Linked DNA regions of Saccharomyces cerevisiae S288C. The gene in region 1 interacts genetically with each later gene. Each region holds a gene or a part of one and is shown on either strand. Other genes may lie near its edges. The genes, in order: NAM7, GCD11, SUP45 and TIF2.

Region 1 (5,007 bases):
TACTCTTTTTTTATTTTTTTTTTTTCTTCCACTCAGCTATTAGATTATTTATTATTTTATTATCTGTGGTATCATTTTCTACAGCCATACCTTGATTTTAGTTTATTTTGTTGGCAGTTATATACATTTATCTTATAGAATACATATGCACGTATTAAACAATAAAAAGAACATAAGCAAAAATGAAACCTCGCTACAATAAAACTTTATTACGCATTGCAGTGCGCCGTAAAGAGTATTCATTAGAAGTACAATGGTAGCCCTATTTGGTTGCAACATGTTTTAGCAAAGAGATTAGTAGGCTAGGATATCAAGTCCATGCCCCTTTATCACATACTGTAATGATAGATGCACCTCCGGAAAAGTAAAAAAAGTTTTTCAGGTTACAATTGTGCAAATTGCGAGTCTATCTCGAATAATTTTGCAGCGCTCATTTCACGGTTGAGCCGTTTTGTATCACAAGCCAAGTTTAACATTTTATTTTAACAGGGTTCACCGAATTATATTCCCAAATTGCTGAAGTCTTTTGACAATTCATGCTTTTGTTCTTCTCTCTGTAACTCTCTCGCGAAGTTAGAGTTCAAATGAGAAGCCTCCTCCTGGTACAAATTTCTATCGTCAATTTCATTGCGATTTTGCTTTTGAGAAAAAGCACTTTTAAAATTCTCAAAATTCCAATATTCATTATTGATGTAAGAAGAAAGTTCTGTGTTGTCAACAAATGCATTACCAAAGTCCCCAATTTGACCACTGAATGACACCATACTCTGTGCATCAAAATCCTGGAACTTCGGAAAGTCACCCATTTCAGATTCTACGTTAAATTGAGCGTTCATTGGCCGTTCAGTCTTTCTTGGCTGAGGACGAACTAATTGAACAGTGCATAACTGTAAGTTATCCAACGTACCTTCGACTAAACAACCCTTCTCTCTGAAGTGGATTAACAGATGGTTCCATAATGTGTTTCTTGCCAAAGATCTAGGATTACCAAGAATAACTAGACCATATTTGGCACGGGTTAGACCCACGTTTAGACGACGAGGATCACGTAAGAAACCAATGGCCTGTTGTTCATTGGCACGAACACACGATAAGATTATGTAATCCTTTTCACGACCTTGGAATGCATCAACTGAGGCAACTTCCACTTTGATATACAAATCCTTATCCAATGAACCATTCATTTGCATATATTGTAAAATATAAGCTCTTTGTCCCTCATATGGTGTGATAACACCAATTTGCTCGGGCTTGACACCGTCTCTGAAAAGTTTAGTGATGATTCGTTCACAATTCATGGCTTCAATTCTGTTTAAGAAGGAAGTACCGTTAGCAGAAATCTCCTCTCTACCGTAATTGGCCCAAAACATCATTGGTATACCGCGAATTGGCCATGGGAATTTGCTGTTGGGAACGGTACGCTGTTCAATCGTTACACCATTTTGTAGGCTGCCTTCATAAAACATGTTACTTGGAAACTCACTCAAATAAGGATTCATACGGTATTGAACTTCCAAACGAATCGGTACGTGGCCTAGAGAGATTAATCTTTCAAAGAGAGATTGTTTCAAACCAGCGTCTGCCGCCTTTCGTTCCAATATGACTGGGCCCAGTTGCTGGTGATCACCAACAAGTATAACTTGTTTCGCACCTTTAACGATTGGGATTAAACATTCCGGCTCAGAAGCTTGAGTACTTTCATCAATTAACACAGTCCTAAATTTAGTGTCTAAGCGCTTATCACCAGCACCAACACATGTGCAACATACGACATCTGCCTTATTGAGAATTTCTGCTTCTGTTTTCCTTACTAATTTAACAAACCGTTTTGTATCAGAAGCAGATAATTCGCCAACTTCATCCTTTAACTTTAATAGGTTTTTTAATTCCCCTTTAGCACCACGGCCAACCAAATTATGCAATGCTAAGTTGGAGACGGAACTCTCCACATCTTCTCTACTTTTCGCGGTAAGTCTAACAACTTTTAAACCCAAGTCACGTAATTTGGCAGCCAAATGATCTACAGCAACGTTTGATGGGGCACACACCAATATTCTATCCTTGTGTATTTTGGAAAGGTGATACACAATCGTTGCTGAAGTAACTGTTTTACCAGTGCCTGGTGGGCCTTGAATTAAAGATAACGGACGTTGTAATACATGACTAACAGCGTTCGACTGGGATGAGTTTAATTGTGCAAAATTCGGAATTGAAAACTCCTTAGGTAATGGGACATCAAATGAAATGTCAACCACTTGATGGCCTAAAATTTTATAGTACAAATAACCTGAAATAGATTTTTTATCAATGGCAAATTTTTTCAATGCGTCTTGCATCCTGTCATAAGAGGTACCTTTCCAGATGAACTCAGCAGTAAAACCAGTGGTCAAATGTGTTGGAGGTGGCGTTTTACTTGGTTTTAACTCTAATGTGAATGTGTCCTGGAAGCTATTTGGTAACCGAACAATGTAACCACGACCTTCCCAATCAGGATGTTGCATGCCAGAGTACCATAGTATCATTTCATCACCGATGGCAACTTTCAACTCGTTAGATTCGAAAGTAGATAAAGTGAAAGATGCTAAATGCCTATTATTTAAAGCTAAGGACCATGAAACAGAAATATGTTCTAAAGCTTGAGATTCCTTGAGTTGTTTATCATAGTCGGCCTCCAATTTGATTAAAGGCCCGTAAGATCTTTGGTATTCGTAGGCGTCTTGATATCTCAATAGTAAAGGTGGGATTGCTTCCTGTTCCTCTGGGGCGTCAATATCATTAATTGTAGCGTCTTTATTGGATCTCCATTTTGCCTCCAACTTGGAAATTTGGCTAGGAGTGATTAAACGAGCTTTCAATTTTTCTTCTTCAGTTGGTTGCTCTGCGACCCATGATAAAAGTTGTCTGTCTTCAATTAATGGTTGCCATTGATCAGTATCCCAGTTCGCATTTTTCGTCTGGGCACAAGGTATTCTACAAAGTAAAACAACCACGGCCTCACTTTTAGCGGAAACAAATCCCAATAAAAACACGTTCTTACGTCCACAGTTATAACATTCCAAAACGGTATCCCCTAAGTCAGAATCTGGATGTAAAGAAACTACGTTATGGTGGGATAAAACTAAGTGATTAACAATGTGGGAGCTGCTTGTACCGTTTTTAGTGTTACAAAACCATTTCTTACATGAATTACATTTGATGACACACTTTGCAGAATCTATACCACAATACGCACATGAATTGTCTGAAGCTGAAGGCGAACGGAATCCAGTCTCAGTGACTTGAGCCTCTTCAAATAGCTGATTATCTACATCGTCATCCTCCACCAAGGTGGAATTTAGTTGTGTTGCGGGTTGGACATTTACATCAGATGGAGAGTTTGATATATCATAAGGAGTGTGAGAACCGGAACCGACCATTTGATAATGACAATGATTGATGTAATATAAAAAGTATATTCGGTCTTGCTGCCCTTCCTTCTTTCCTGATGAAATCTTCAACGTTTGTTGGCTGACAAGAGAAATAGAGTCTTCTGTTAGTGTGCGTTAAAACGATGCCTCTTTTCGCTTTTTTTTTCTCCTTCACAATAGCATCGTAAGTTTCTGGTAAGCTTTTCATTTGATCAGTTAGTACGAAAGCGTATAAAGGTGTCCCTCCCAAATCAAGTAAGCAAAGGGAAACTGATGATACTAAAATAATGTAAATTAAGATTAAACTAAAGTTAAAAGTAAAAGCATTCACTCGTTTAATATTATTGAGTGGATAGTAACTAACTATGTATATTTTCTTTTTGTTTTTCTTATTTCCCGTTCATGAATTCATTAAAAGTTAGGCGAATTACGGAGTTCGCCAGATGCATATGTTTCGTTTTCAATTGGAGAATGAACTCGCTAGTGACAATTTTATGAATGATTTTCTCCTGGGATTCCTTTCCTCCAGGCAATTAGAAGTGTGAGGACTAGATTCTTCGTTAGAAGAAGCCACACTAGTATTCAATGAACTATTGGAAGGAGATTTCACCAAAGAGTTGGAATACGAGTTGTTTCTAGTCTGCAAGGGAGAGGAAGAGGAACCATTGGAAAGAAGCGAAAAGGATTCTCTTCTTAGATTTGATGGCGTTCGTTCTCTGTGATAGTGGTTAAGGTTTCCACTGTGACCTGGGACGTTATTTGATGATATTTTCCCATGGGAAATCAATTTTAGTCGATTATTCTTTTCGTTGGAGAGATAAGACGACGGATATGCAGCCGAACTTGAATTCAGATTCAAATACGAGTTGGAATTCGAGGCGGGTGTTGAAACAGATGTTAATGGGGAAGTGAGATCATTTGACTGGTCGTTAGCTACTGCTAGAGAGTCTAGCTCGGATGAAACGTATTTTTCAAGGCCGTATAGATGTGTTGGTATACCGTAACAGGAAGAATGCCTGGATCTTGGCTTTATGCATTTGTGGTCAAAACAGGAATCCGCCGCGTCGCCCAAGGAAGACTGTCTTGTGGATTGTCTGGACAACTGGTGAATGAGGGTGCTACTATTTGCTCTTATTCTTCTTGGAGAAGGGCGAATTGGTTCATTGGAATTGTTCGTTGAATTTGCTGGGACGAAGCCATACAAGTGATGCGGAGCTGTCTTGATTTTTCTCAAATGGTGGCCAATAGTATGATTGCCTATGTGTCTGCTTGTATTACCGGCATTGGTACTGCTGCTGTGGTGAGAATTATTTGATTTCGAGGAATTTTGAAAACTAAAGGACGCTAATTTGGAATTTACAAAATCATTCAAATCATTTGAACCTAAAAAACTTTGTACGTCTGTTTCATCTTCATAATCACAATCTTGACAAAATGGATCTTGTACACCTCTTTCAAAAATTTCTGAAGCAATCATCAAAATACAGCGACTATTTCTATTCTTTGATGTTTTTTATTCCACTGAGGAGATAATTATTCAAACTGAAATATTTTACGCAAACCTTTCTATTTATGTGTATTACCTTTAATCTAAGTGGTT
Region 2 (3,855 bases), on another chromosome or scaffold:
GATGTGTACTAACCACTATACTAAGATGGCGAACTTATATAAAATAAAACCTTTTCAAGGTTATATATACTCAATAGATACTGAATAATTTTGGAGCTTCATTATCTTTGTGCAATTGTCTCCATGTACAAACCACCGATAAGATTTAGTGTAGAGTATGTTGGGTGTAAAAAAAGAAAGGCAGTTTATTGACTACTGGTGTAACTAGACGATAAAGGTTTGAGAGGTTTTCATGGCATCAATGGGAAATAAATGAGTTCGAGAACTATGAGATAAATATTTGCTTAATATTATCGCGTTTAGTAATTTTTTCTTAAAAATACGTAAAACATGTTAAATATACAGTTGAATACTATGTAAGAAGGAAAAAAAAAGAAAGAAAACGTTATAAAAAGAGAATAAAGATCATCAATGTCATTACGCATCAATGTATATGAGCATATTGCAATAACCAGAAGTGTCAGTTTCCCTTCCTCCTAGCCCGTTTCTTATCTTCACTTTCTTTCAGATTAATTATGAAATTTTTGTCTTTGCAGTGGTTTTATTGGTTCCTTAAGCGATGGGTTCCAATGTAGTACCCTTTTTAATGGTTGCCCAACCAATCAAACGCCAATGCTTTTCGATACGTCTCGACAAAGCAATCTTCTCGTTAATTTCAGTACAAGCGGGCGACGTTAACTGTAATCTTGCCATATCAGCTTTAACGGCAACCACACGAGCCCCCGTAGCGGTAGAACCAATGTTGACCATAAGAACTTCATTTGGCTCTAATTTTCTGACTTTGGCTTGCTTTTGACCATCTGTTTTGACACCTAATAGACGACGTAGCAAAAAGTAGTTGATTTCGATATCAGTATAAATGTTTGGCAAATGACCCTTAGCACCGACGACTTGACCGACAAGACGATCAGCTCTACACAAGGTAGGATCAACTTTAGTACCAACACCAATCAGACCACCGGGAACAGCAAACTTCAAGTCATTTTGTTCGGCAAATAAGGAGACAATGTTAGAAAAGATTGGTTTACATTGAATTTTACCCTTATCATCCTTGGTGACAATACCTGGTCTAATCTCAATTTCATCACCTAATTTGAAAACACCATTCAAAATAGAACCACCGGCAACACCACCTTTCAGGTCCTCGATTTCAGCACCTGGCTTATTAACATCAAATGAACGAATAACAATTAACCTTGGAGAAATCATAAAATCTCTTGGTGGTACGGGAATAGTCTTGACAATAAATTCATTAACTGCGTCGATGTTATACTTCAACTGAGCGGATATTGGTACAATAGGAGCACCGTCAGCAATGGTACCTCTGATGAACTTCAAGATGGATTTTTGGTGTTCTAAGGCACTTTCTTCACGCATTAAATCGACCTTATTCTGTAAGATGATGACGTGCTTTAATTTCATGATTTCAATGGCAGCTAAATGCTCTGAGGTTTGAGGTTGTGGACAAGATTCATTACCTGCAATCAACAGTAACGCAGCATCCATAACAGCAGCACCTGATAACATAGTACTCATTAAGATATCGTGACCGGGACAGTCAACAAAAGAAACGTGACGGACCAATTTGTAACGCCCCGGACAACCTGGTCTTTGACATTTAGGACTGATTTCTTTATCAGATTTGAATGATCTATAACAATCAGGTTCGGGACATGTAGGCTCTTGACATTTATAAATTTTAGCATTAGCGTAACCTAACTTAATAGTAATGTTACGTTCTAATTCATCCTTAAAACGGACTGTTTGGACACCTGAAATAGCCCTAACTACTGTGGATTTACCGTGGGCGACATGACCGATGGTACCGATGTTTATTGTAGCTTGCCTGTTGATAATTTCGGCGGATAGTGGGTTTAATTTTGAAAAATCAGGGTTTAATGGTTGTTCGGGCAAACCACCACCTTCTTCAAATTCCCTTTTCCTTTTTTCTTCTTCAGTTTCCCCGTCTTCTTCCAAGCCAGTGAAGGCGACTTTCTTCTTTGGCTTATCAGCATCTTGTGTTTCTTGTGTTTCTTGAGCTACAACTTCCGTTTCTTCAACGATATCTGGTTCACCAACTGGTTCCAAATTACCGTTGATAATAATGCTAGGTTCTTGGTCTTGTAAGTCACTCATGTCTACCTCTAATGCGCGATGTTAACGGTGTATTACGCTCTTTCCGCCCTCTTTGCTTAGCTCCTGGTACAGGTCGAGATGAAATCTCTGTCTTTTGTACTGATGATCAGCATCGGGCTATTCTATGAAAATTTTTTCAATGGCAAATCTGGTCCGGGTTACTGACATGAGAGCAAATAATAAGCATAAATTAAAGCATATTGATATACTTCATATAACAAGTATATATCACATCACGCCAAGCTTACGCATAATGCTAGTAATAAATAGATAAACAAAGAGCGTTCTTATTGATCTAAGGTCGCCACCTTTCTACCCACACGACTGCGGTCAAAATCAATATCGAATCTTGAGTTGATGACGTTACGTTTCTTGGAATTTAGAGATGTAGCTGAAGATGCCGAAGAGGATGTGCCATCAGCATTGCCAGCAACTATTTCAATATCTGTCTCATCATCTGCTTCCAACCCATTACTTGCCACTTCCCGCGGTTGGATCTGTAAAATTTCATGGCCTGTATTTAATTTTTCCTTTTCTGTGGGAACGGAAACTGCGGAACTTGAATGATCATTGTCTGCGCTCATGGTCAAGCCATTGAAGGTTTTCTGCAAATTCTTCATCGATGGTGTTTTAGATATATTCCTACTGTCAATGTGGCCTTCCAAATCGAAAAACCCGCCATACCTGTTCAAATTTACCTGTGATGAAGAAGATGTTTTGCGGGAGCCATTGACTGTATGGCCGTTACGTTTCGGAGGATTATTGACTGCATTGTCCATTTCATACAATTTATCGACCACTGGACTGATCTTCACGCCAGTTTTATTATGAGAAGTGCCGCGTGACATCCTCCAGTAGGAACGAATTTCGCCTAACACCCAACTTAACATAAACATTAACCTGTCACCCTGTCGAAATTGCGATGTCACGGTCAAATCTACTTGATCATCTTTAATGATGTACCCTATTCCAAAGCCATGAGGTACAGCAGGAGTTATACCAAATGTCGTGGTAGCAGCATTACCACAGTTGGCAACAATCAACTCAGGCTGTGAGAAAGGTAAAACAAGTGGATTTTCGAAAAGATCTTTCGCAGCAGATGATTCATCACCACTTAAGTGGATACCAAAATGGTCATGAAATTTGAAGAGATATTTCAATGCATTGAAGTGTTTTTCATAACCTACCCCAGACTTTGCATGTTTAACCATGTTATTATGTGTTTCGCAGGTTTGGATAAATTTGTCTAATTTATCTGTCCCATCAATGGAGCTAGAAATAAACAATTGACATAGTTCCAACAGCGCTTGACTTTGAATGTTAATAAAAGATGATCTCGAGTTTTTGAAACCACGTGTGGATACTGGTTCTAATCCAAACACCATTCTTCCATACAAAGCATAGTGAGCTATTTGTAAAGCTACTTGAACCATCGAATCGGGCTTGACTCCTAATCTTTGAGCTGACCTTCTGCCCAATGGAATAGAAGCGCGAACAATATCATACTTGGAAATCAGATCAGCTAGTTTGGTTTCTGACAAATGGACATGTGTGTTCAGGATGTTACTGAAAGACCAATCGATTTTATTTACAACCAACTTAGGGTCAATTTCAGAAGGGCCTCCGCCGTCGGCACTTATGGTCGCCGTCATCAGTTTTTTAGTTTCAGGATCCATTTGTGTCACGTTAGGCCAGAGTGAAAACTGTGGGTCACCGGCG
Region 3 (3,671 bases), on another chromosome or scaffold:
TTTCAATTGAAATGGCCAATCACCGTGCCACGCGTGCAAGTCACTATGACAAACACCAGAATATTTAACGTGGACTAAAATTTCGTTAGGCTTAGGTTCCGGAACTGTGACGTCTTTATATTCCAATTTTCCATCTGTCTCATAAAAGACAATAGCCTTTTGTTTTTCAGGAATGACTTGCGAAGGCATGATGCTTTGATTTTGTAGATATGTAGTTAAATAATTTTCTTAGGTATCTTCCAATCAGAGACATTGTGAGACAGTAAAGCAGTAGTTTGCGCTAGAAATATCTTGTAGTCCCTCTTTTATATTCGTAGTATGTTATATAGATTACAATCTAGACAATACGAAGGAACGATCCCGCGTCAGCAGATGTCACAATTTGATTATTTCATTGTCACATGCTTTTTGACTCATCCTTCCGCGAAAGGAGAACTTTTTACAATGCCGCCGGCTCTGTTAGCGTACCCTTCTACAAGCAGATAGCAGAACAAACACATGATATATTCAAAAGGTGCAATGTCAGAGAACATATATTGCGCCCCTGTCCTGTAGACATCAGTCATTTTTCGCGGGACTTGAATGGCGCACCATTATCCTATACAGAAAACATTAAATTTACTGCAAAATTTTGGGCAAACGCTTGGATAGACTATGAATCCGTCATGAAGACACTACTTGTAAAATTATATATATCCTTTTTTTTCATGTGCTAGTAAGAATTAGCAACTACTTTCATTCATCTTCGACGCAACTTCGAGGAAAGCACCTTTTTACTTGCTGTAGCTCTATTCTCTTCCCCAACCACCTTTTCCTTTATTCCAAAATTTTTAAAACTTTTTCTGTTACATTATATAATCTTCTGTCTGAAATGTTTGGATATAACGCCTCTTGATCCACTTTGTATATGCGTGCTATTTATTTTCAGATTTATAAAGAGTATGAGCGTCATTTACATAAATAGCTGAAGTTATTCATGGAAAATACGAAGAGCACGTATGTGAGCCAACAGAACATTTGACGTAAGACTCTACAATGTGCCAAGAACTGGACAAGTAGAGGACTGAGAACTTTATTTCAATTCATTGCTCCTTTTTGGTGGCGCTACCTTTAGCGAAGGTCAATGATGAATGTGCACATGCTGTCGAAACCAAAAAGCAAATTCTAACCAACTTCAAAATGACATAGTCATCTGATATTTCTACTCATTATAGATAGTATGGGAGCCTTGAAACGAAAAGTAAGTAAAAAGCTGGATATGAGCAGTATGAGGTAGACCTTAGCTACATCATTTCCCCCAATAGCTGCTGCAAATATCTGGTTAAATTTGTGATTCCATGAAGAGGATAACAGACTTGTTAAAAAGCATCCTGTCAAAATCTAATTTTTGAAGGGCAGTATTCAATTCATAATTTACTTTAGCTTAGATCCTTCCAATTTATACATGGTATTATAACCAGATCATAAACTACAATCTGTCGCTACCGCATGTACGAAGAATACTTAAGTCACTTGCTCTCTCATCATTTGTACATTTTTCAGTAATACCGTTTGATAGCGCCGTCTTTATTACCCGGATTATTCCGTTGACCCTGAATGAAAAATTTTTTCAGAAATCCAGTGCTAAGCGTCAAATCAATGAAATACATCACTGTATTTTTAACTGATATACTGTTGGTGTGGCCTTAACGACACCTTTATTTCTTAATTCATTTCGGCTTGTCTCCTTATTAAGACTACAGAAATAGACAAAGGAAATACTTCAATAATGGATAACGAGGTTGAAAAAAATATTGAGATCTGGAAGGTCAAGAAGTTGGTCCAATCTTTAGAAAAAGCTAGAGGTAATGGTACTTCTATGATTTCCTTAGTTATTCCTCCTAAGGGTCAAATTCCACTGTACCAAAAAATGTTAACAGATGAATATGGTACTGCCTCGAATATTAAATCTAGGGTTAATCGTCTTTCCGTTTTATCTGCTATCACTTCCACCCAACAAAAGTTGAAGCTATATAATACTTTGCCCAAGAACGGTTTAGTTTTATATTGTGGTGATATCATCACTGAAGATGGTAAAGAAAAAAAGGTCACTTTTGACATCGAACCTTACAAACCTATCAACACATCCTTATATTTGTGTGATAACAAATTTCATACAGAAGTTCTTTCGGAATTGCTTCAAGCTGACGACAAGTTCGGTTTTATAGTCATGGACGGTCAAGGTACTTTGTTTGGTTCTGTGTCCGGTAATACGAGAACTGTTTTACATAAATTTACTGTCGATCTGCCAAAAAAGCATGGTAGAGGTGGTCAATCTGCGCTTCGTTTTGCTCGTTTAAGAGAAGAAAAAAGACATAATTATGTGAGAAAGGTCGCCGAAGTTGCTGTTCAAAATTTTATTACTAATGACAAAGTCAATGTTAAGGGTTTAATTTTAGCTGGTTCTGCTGACTTTAAGACCGATTTGGCTAAATCTGAATTATTCGATCCAAGACTAGCATGTAAGGTTATTTCCATCGTGGATGTTTCTTATGGTGGTGAAAACGGTTTCAACCAGGCTATCGAACTTTCTGCCGAAGCGTTGGCCAATGTCAAGTATGTTCAAGAAAAGAAATTATTGGAGGCATATTTTGACGAAATTTCCCAGGACACTGGTAAATTCTGTTATGGTATAGATGATACTTTAAAGGCATTGGATTTAGGTGCAGTCGAAAAATTAATTGTTTTCGAAAATTTGGAAACTATCAGATATACATTTAAAGATGCCGAGGATAATGAGGTTATAAAATTCGCTGAACCAGAAGCCAAGGACAAGTCGTTTGCTATTGACAAAGCTACCGGCCAAGAAATGGACGTTGTCTCCGAAGAACCTTTAATTGAATGGCTAGCAGCTAACTACAAAAACTTCGGTGCTACCTTGGAATTCATCACAGACAAATCTTCAGAAGGTGCCCAATTTGTCACAGGTTTTGGTGGTATTGGTGCCATGCTGCGTTACAAAGTTAATTTTGAACAACTAGTTGATGAATCTGAGGATGAATATTATGACGAAGATGAAGGATCCGACTATGATTTCATTTAAATAAATAAAAGGGGGAGAAAAAAATCGAATCAAAAAGAATTTAATCACTAGATGCCAGATTTAAATTAAATTCGCTTTTAATTTTTTGTACAATATAATATATACTTGGTAAACCTTTTGCTCTATATTGAGCTAATTCCTTTGTTGAAAGTACATAGTGGGTTTAGAGGACCGTGTATATTACGTAGAAAATACAGTGAAAGGAGAGTTTCTCTTCAAAAGCCTCGAGATTAATTATTTCTCTTTTTCTTTTTCTTCAAAGTTTCTAAGGCGTTTGTCTTTTCATGACCAATGATAGAATTATGACCTCTTTTTTTGACCAAGTTATCAGCTAAATTCACTAGCCCACCTGTCAAATATTTCTGTCTTCTATCTTTACGTATAGGCACTGATAACAATTCGTTCAACGTAGCTCTCATGGCTTTTACCTTGTCCTTATTTATAGTCTTCTGCATTTTTTTATTTTTATTTTTTAGTAAGAAAGTGTCCGAATTACTCTTTGATATATCGTCTTCGTCGGAATCAACGTCAATACCTAATTCATCAGCAGCCTTTTTTAACCAATTGTCATCTTTTCTTAGGGAATTAG
Region 4 (3,553 bases), on another chromosome or scaffold:
GATCATAAAGGTCCATATTGGTAAGAATATGCCAACGATGTATAGCGAGCCTCCTTTTGCCATTTTAACAATTTCTGATGATAAACTTCTTTAATTTTGATAGCGACTTCCAAGCATTAGATTTGGAGATGATATGAATAAGCAGTGACAGATTATTTCTGCAGATGAAAAATAAAGAGGCGTAGTACTTTGTCTTTAACTTTCCTTTATTAAAAAAATGTATAGAAAATTTCCAAAGCGACCAGTAAAACAGCTAGTTACTCTTCACACACAAAGAAAAGAAGAAAATGAAGGGGAAAGTGGTTATGTGGCAGGTATAGCGAATAAAGAATTTAATTAAAGAATACATTTAAAGCAAATTTTCAACACAAAATATTGAAGGAATAATCAGAAAATTATTTAATTATTGTACATATTATATATTCAAATATTTATTATGAAATATCCCTAACAAAAAGACAATAAAAGGATAATCAATAATAAAAACAAATATGGGCAAAATAATATCATATAGGGGGTCAAGATAAGATAAAGGTAATATAGTTATGGATTTCTTCTCCTTAGAGATTAGTTCAACAAGGTAGCAATGTCGGATGGCAATTCTTCAATTTGAGTGGAGTAGAACTTTTCTAGTTCTCTCATAGCGCCAACGTCTTCGTTAGTAACAAAGTTGATGGCAACACCCTTTCTACCGAAACGACCACCTCTACCGATTCTGTGAATATAGTTTTCTTTGTTAGCTGGTAAGTCGTAGTTAATAACCAAAGAAACTTGTTGGACATCGATACCTCTAGCCAACAAATCAGTGGAGATCAAAATTCTGGAAGAACCACTTCTGAATTCCTTCATGATGGTGTCTCTTTCTTGTTGTGGTAAATCAGAATAGATGGCAGAAACGGTAAATTTGTCGTTTCTTAACTTAGTGGTCAATTCTTCGACCTTTCTTCTGGTGTTACAGAAGATGACAGCTTGAGTAACGGAGATAGAGTCGTATAAATCGGTCAAACACTCGTATTTGTATTCTTCTTCTTCAACATTAACGTAGAATTGTTTGATACCTTCCAAAGTCAATTCATCCTTCTTAACCAAAATTCTAACTGGGTTTCTCATAAATTTGGTGGTAACTTCCAAGACGTCATTTGGCATGGTGGCGGACAATAGAACAACTTGAGTGGTTGGTGGAAGTAAGGTGAAAATTTGGTAGATTTGTTCCTTGAAACCAGAAGACAACATTTCATCAGCTTCATCTAAGATGAACATCTTGATCTTGTCAGTTCTGAATCTACGTCTTTGGATGTTGTCAAAAACACGACCTGGAGTACCAACGACGATTTGAGCATCTCTCAAACCTTCAGCGTCTTCAACAAAGGAAGTACCACCGATACAAGCGTGGACCTTGATGTCCATGTGGAAAGCCAAAGCCATGACAACCTTTTGGATTTGCAAAGCCAATTCTCTAGTTGGAGCCAACATCAAAGCTTGAGGAGCCTTGACAGAGGTGTCAATTCTTTGCAAAGCAGCAATGGAGAAAGTACCGGTCTTACCAGTACCAGATTGAGCTTGAGCCAAGACATCGTGACCTTCAATAATAGGCATGATGGCACGTTGTTGAATGGCAGATGGTTCTTCGAAACCGTAACCGAAAACACCTCTTAACAAGTTTTCGTCCAATTCCATATCATCGAACTTGTAGACGACCTTGTCATAGTTGGTTTGAATTTGGGATTCTTCAATATCAGTAATACCTTCAGACATATTGCAATTACTATTTATTAGTTTCTTGTACACACCAGTCCTTTGTTTAGCGAACCTTTTTTTTTCCTACTATGTGTATTGGGATCTGCTGTTTCCTTCTCCTTGAGATGAGATTTCTTTTATATATGATGCTGAAAAAAAAATAAAAAAATTTCGAAAAAAAGAAAAAGGTACGCAAAATCAACGCTTTCACCCGGCCTTTTGTATTCGTCTGATGTGACGACTGTACAGCTAATGTATACTATGTAGTAGTTTAGTTGAATGATTGATAGCTAAGAGGTAGAGGGATGGCATCAGGTATCAGGCTTTGGGAATGCTCTTTGGACGCGGTCTAAATAATCCGTAGACTCCCAATCAAATTTAAAAGCAGATTGCGGCTTAGATGTCGGTTTCTCAATATCATGTTTCTCTGCAGTACTCTTCTGCGAAGCATTTCGATCTACTGAGGTTATATCCAGGTCAACGTGCTTTTGATTTTCTCTTTTACCATGATTCAACAGGTCTTGAAGACAAGGAGGTTCGTGGTAAAAATTTGTCTCTGTTTCAATATTGCCCAATTGCAAGTGTGTGAAGTAGTTACTTAAGTGGCATTCACTATAAAGTTCACGCTGTGTACTTCTCCACAGCTGGTAATAGTGGTCGTCATAGTCAGTTGTATTACGGGACCATGGCTTAAACGTTCCAATGAAGTGAATAAGTCTGATGTGTTGTTGGAAAAAATTCATGGCTGGTGAAGACTGGTATCCGTAGTTGGGCATGGTTACGTTGTAGGTGAAGGGGAGGCGTATCCATTCCATGAGTGGAGACACCTTATGCAAAACCTCTTTGCTGTAGTTGCAAATAGGATTAAAAAATTGATTGAAGATTCCTTGATCAGCACCATCAATCGATACAGTTTTAATCAAAAAATCTTGTAAACTTGTTGCCATATCTAAATCAGGAATTAGTAGTAGTACACCGGTGTTGAACATGTCAGGCCATCCGATGTCTGGAACCGCAGCAATCTGGAATCTTGTTTGTTCAGGGTATAATCGTAGGATTTCAAAAAATTCTTTATTTAATGGTAAAGTATCAGCATCTAAAAATAAAACCTGATCGAACTGCACCAGTTCCCACAGTCTAGCCTTGAGTAAAGTATGAGATAGCTCAGGCCTTTTCAACAGTTCAAGATTTGCCTTATTCTTCTCTATGCTCTTCTCTTGATCCTTTAGCGGTTCAATAATGATAATCTCTTTAAAAAGACTTCTAATTAAAGCTATTTCCTGAGGTTTAAACTCATCTCCAAACAATTTTTTTTCAATTAGCAGGCATAAGGTTATCTCATCTTCCACTACAGCGTGTTTCAAGAGTTTTTGTAATTGGTACGCTAAAGTCAATGCGCCAGGTAAATAGTCCCGTGAATACAGCAATGTACAGATGGCAACTTTCTTGGCCATAGCTCCGTAACAAACCTTACTTCTGATAGATATTCAAAAAAATGACACGATGTATAAGTAAAAAAATGCTTTTGGAGGTGGATGCGCTATCCTTGATCTACTCCCCTCATCTTTATATGTCATAGTAAGTGTAAACAAAACCCTTAACGGCTACCGCGCGGTGACGAATCAATGCGATTTTGTTTTCGAACAGTGCTATTTCAAGGATAACGAAAAATCTACCTAGATTGGCACATCAGTGCCTTATTTTCCGTCTTTGCCTCTTGATATATGTTCTTTTTTTATTGTTCTTTTGTTATTGTAGTTGTTGCATGTACGTAAGTTATATATAGATTAAATATTGATAATATAATAGAAAATAA

Evidence for each region.
Region 2: mutations in NAM7 (region 1) and GCD11 together harm fitness less than expected from each alone (positive genetic interaction), as found in Saccharomyces cerevisiae (2 studies listed by BioGRID).
Region 3: of NAM7 (region 1) and SUP45, a mutation in one rescues a mutant of the other (synthetic rescue), as found in Saccharomyces cerevisiae (3 studies listed by BioGRID, with this or other methods).
Region 4: mutations in NAM7 (region 1) and TIF2 together harm fitness more than expected from each alone (negative genetic interaction), as found in Saccharomyces cerevisiae (2 studies listed by BioGRID).

Annotation. Positions count from the first base shown.
Region 1 is NC_001145.3:426,212-431,218, forward strand, and holds NAM7 (ATP-dependent RNA helicase NAM7), read right to left. Parts: upstream 3,417-5,007; coding exon 501-3,416; downstream 1-500. Other genes in the region: ISF1 (Isf1p), read right to left, coding at 3,868-4,884. UniProt on the Saccharomyces cerevisiae protein: RNA-dependent helicase required for nonsense-mediated decay (NMD) of aberrant mRNAs containing premature stop codons and modulates the expression level of normal mRNAs. Also capable of unwinding double-stranded DNA and translocating on single-stranded DNA.
Region 2 is NC_001137.3:203,532-207,386, reverse strand, and holds GCD11 (translation initiation factor eIF2 subunit gamma), read right to left. Parts: upstream 2,137-3,855; coding exon 553-2,136; downstream 1-552. Other genes in the region: carnitine O-acetyltransferase YAT2, read right to left, coding at 2,424-3,855. UniProt on the Saccharomyces cerevisiae protein: As a subunit of eukaryotic initiation factor 2 eIF2, involved in the early steps of protein synthesis.
Region 3 is NC_001134.8:530,280-533,950, reverse strand, and holds SUP45 (translation termination factor eRF1), read left to right. Parts: upstream 1-1,768; coding exon 1,769-3,082; downstream 3,083-3,671. Other genes in the region: alcohol dehydrogenase ADH5, read right to left, coding at 1-189; YBR144C (uncharacterized protein), read left to right, coding at 402-716; MAK5 (ATP-dependent RNA helicase), read right to left, coding at 3,313-3,671. UniProt on the Saccharomyces cerevisiae protein: Component of the eRF1-eRF3-GTP ternary complex, a ternary complex that mediates translation termination in response to the termination codons. The eRF1-eRF3-GTP complex binds to a stop codon in the ribosomal A-site.
Region 4 is NC_001142.9:152,937-156,489, forward strand, and holds TIF2 (translation initiation factor eIF4A), read right to left. Parts: upstream 1,756-3,553; coding exon 568-1,755; downstream 1-567. Other genes in the region: mannosyltransferase YUR1, read right to left, coding at 1-63; glycogenin glucosyltransferase GLG2, read right to left, coding at 2,049-3,191; YJL136W-A (uncharacterized protein), read left to right, coding at 3,233-3,316.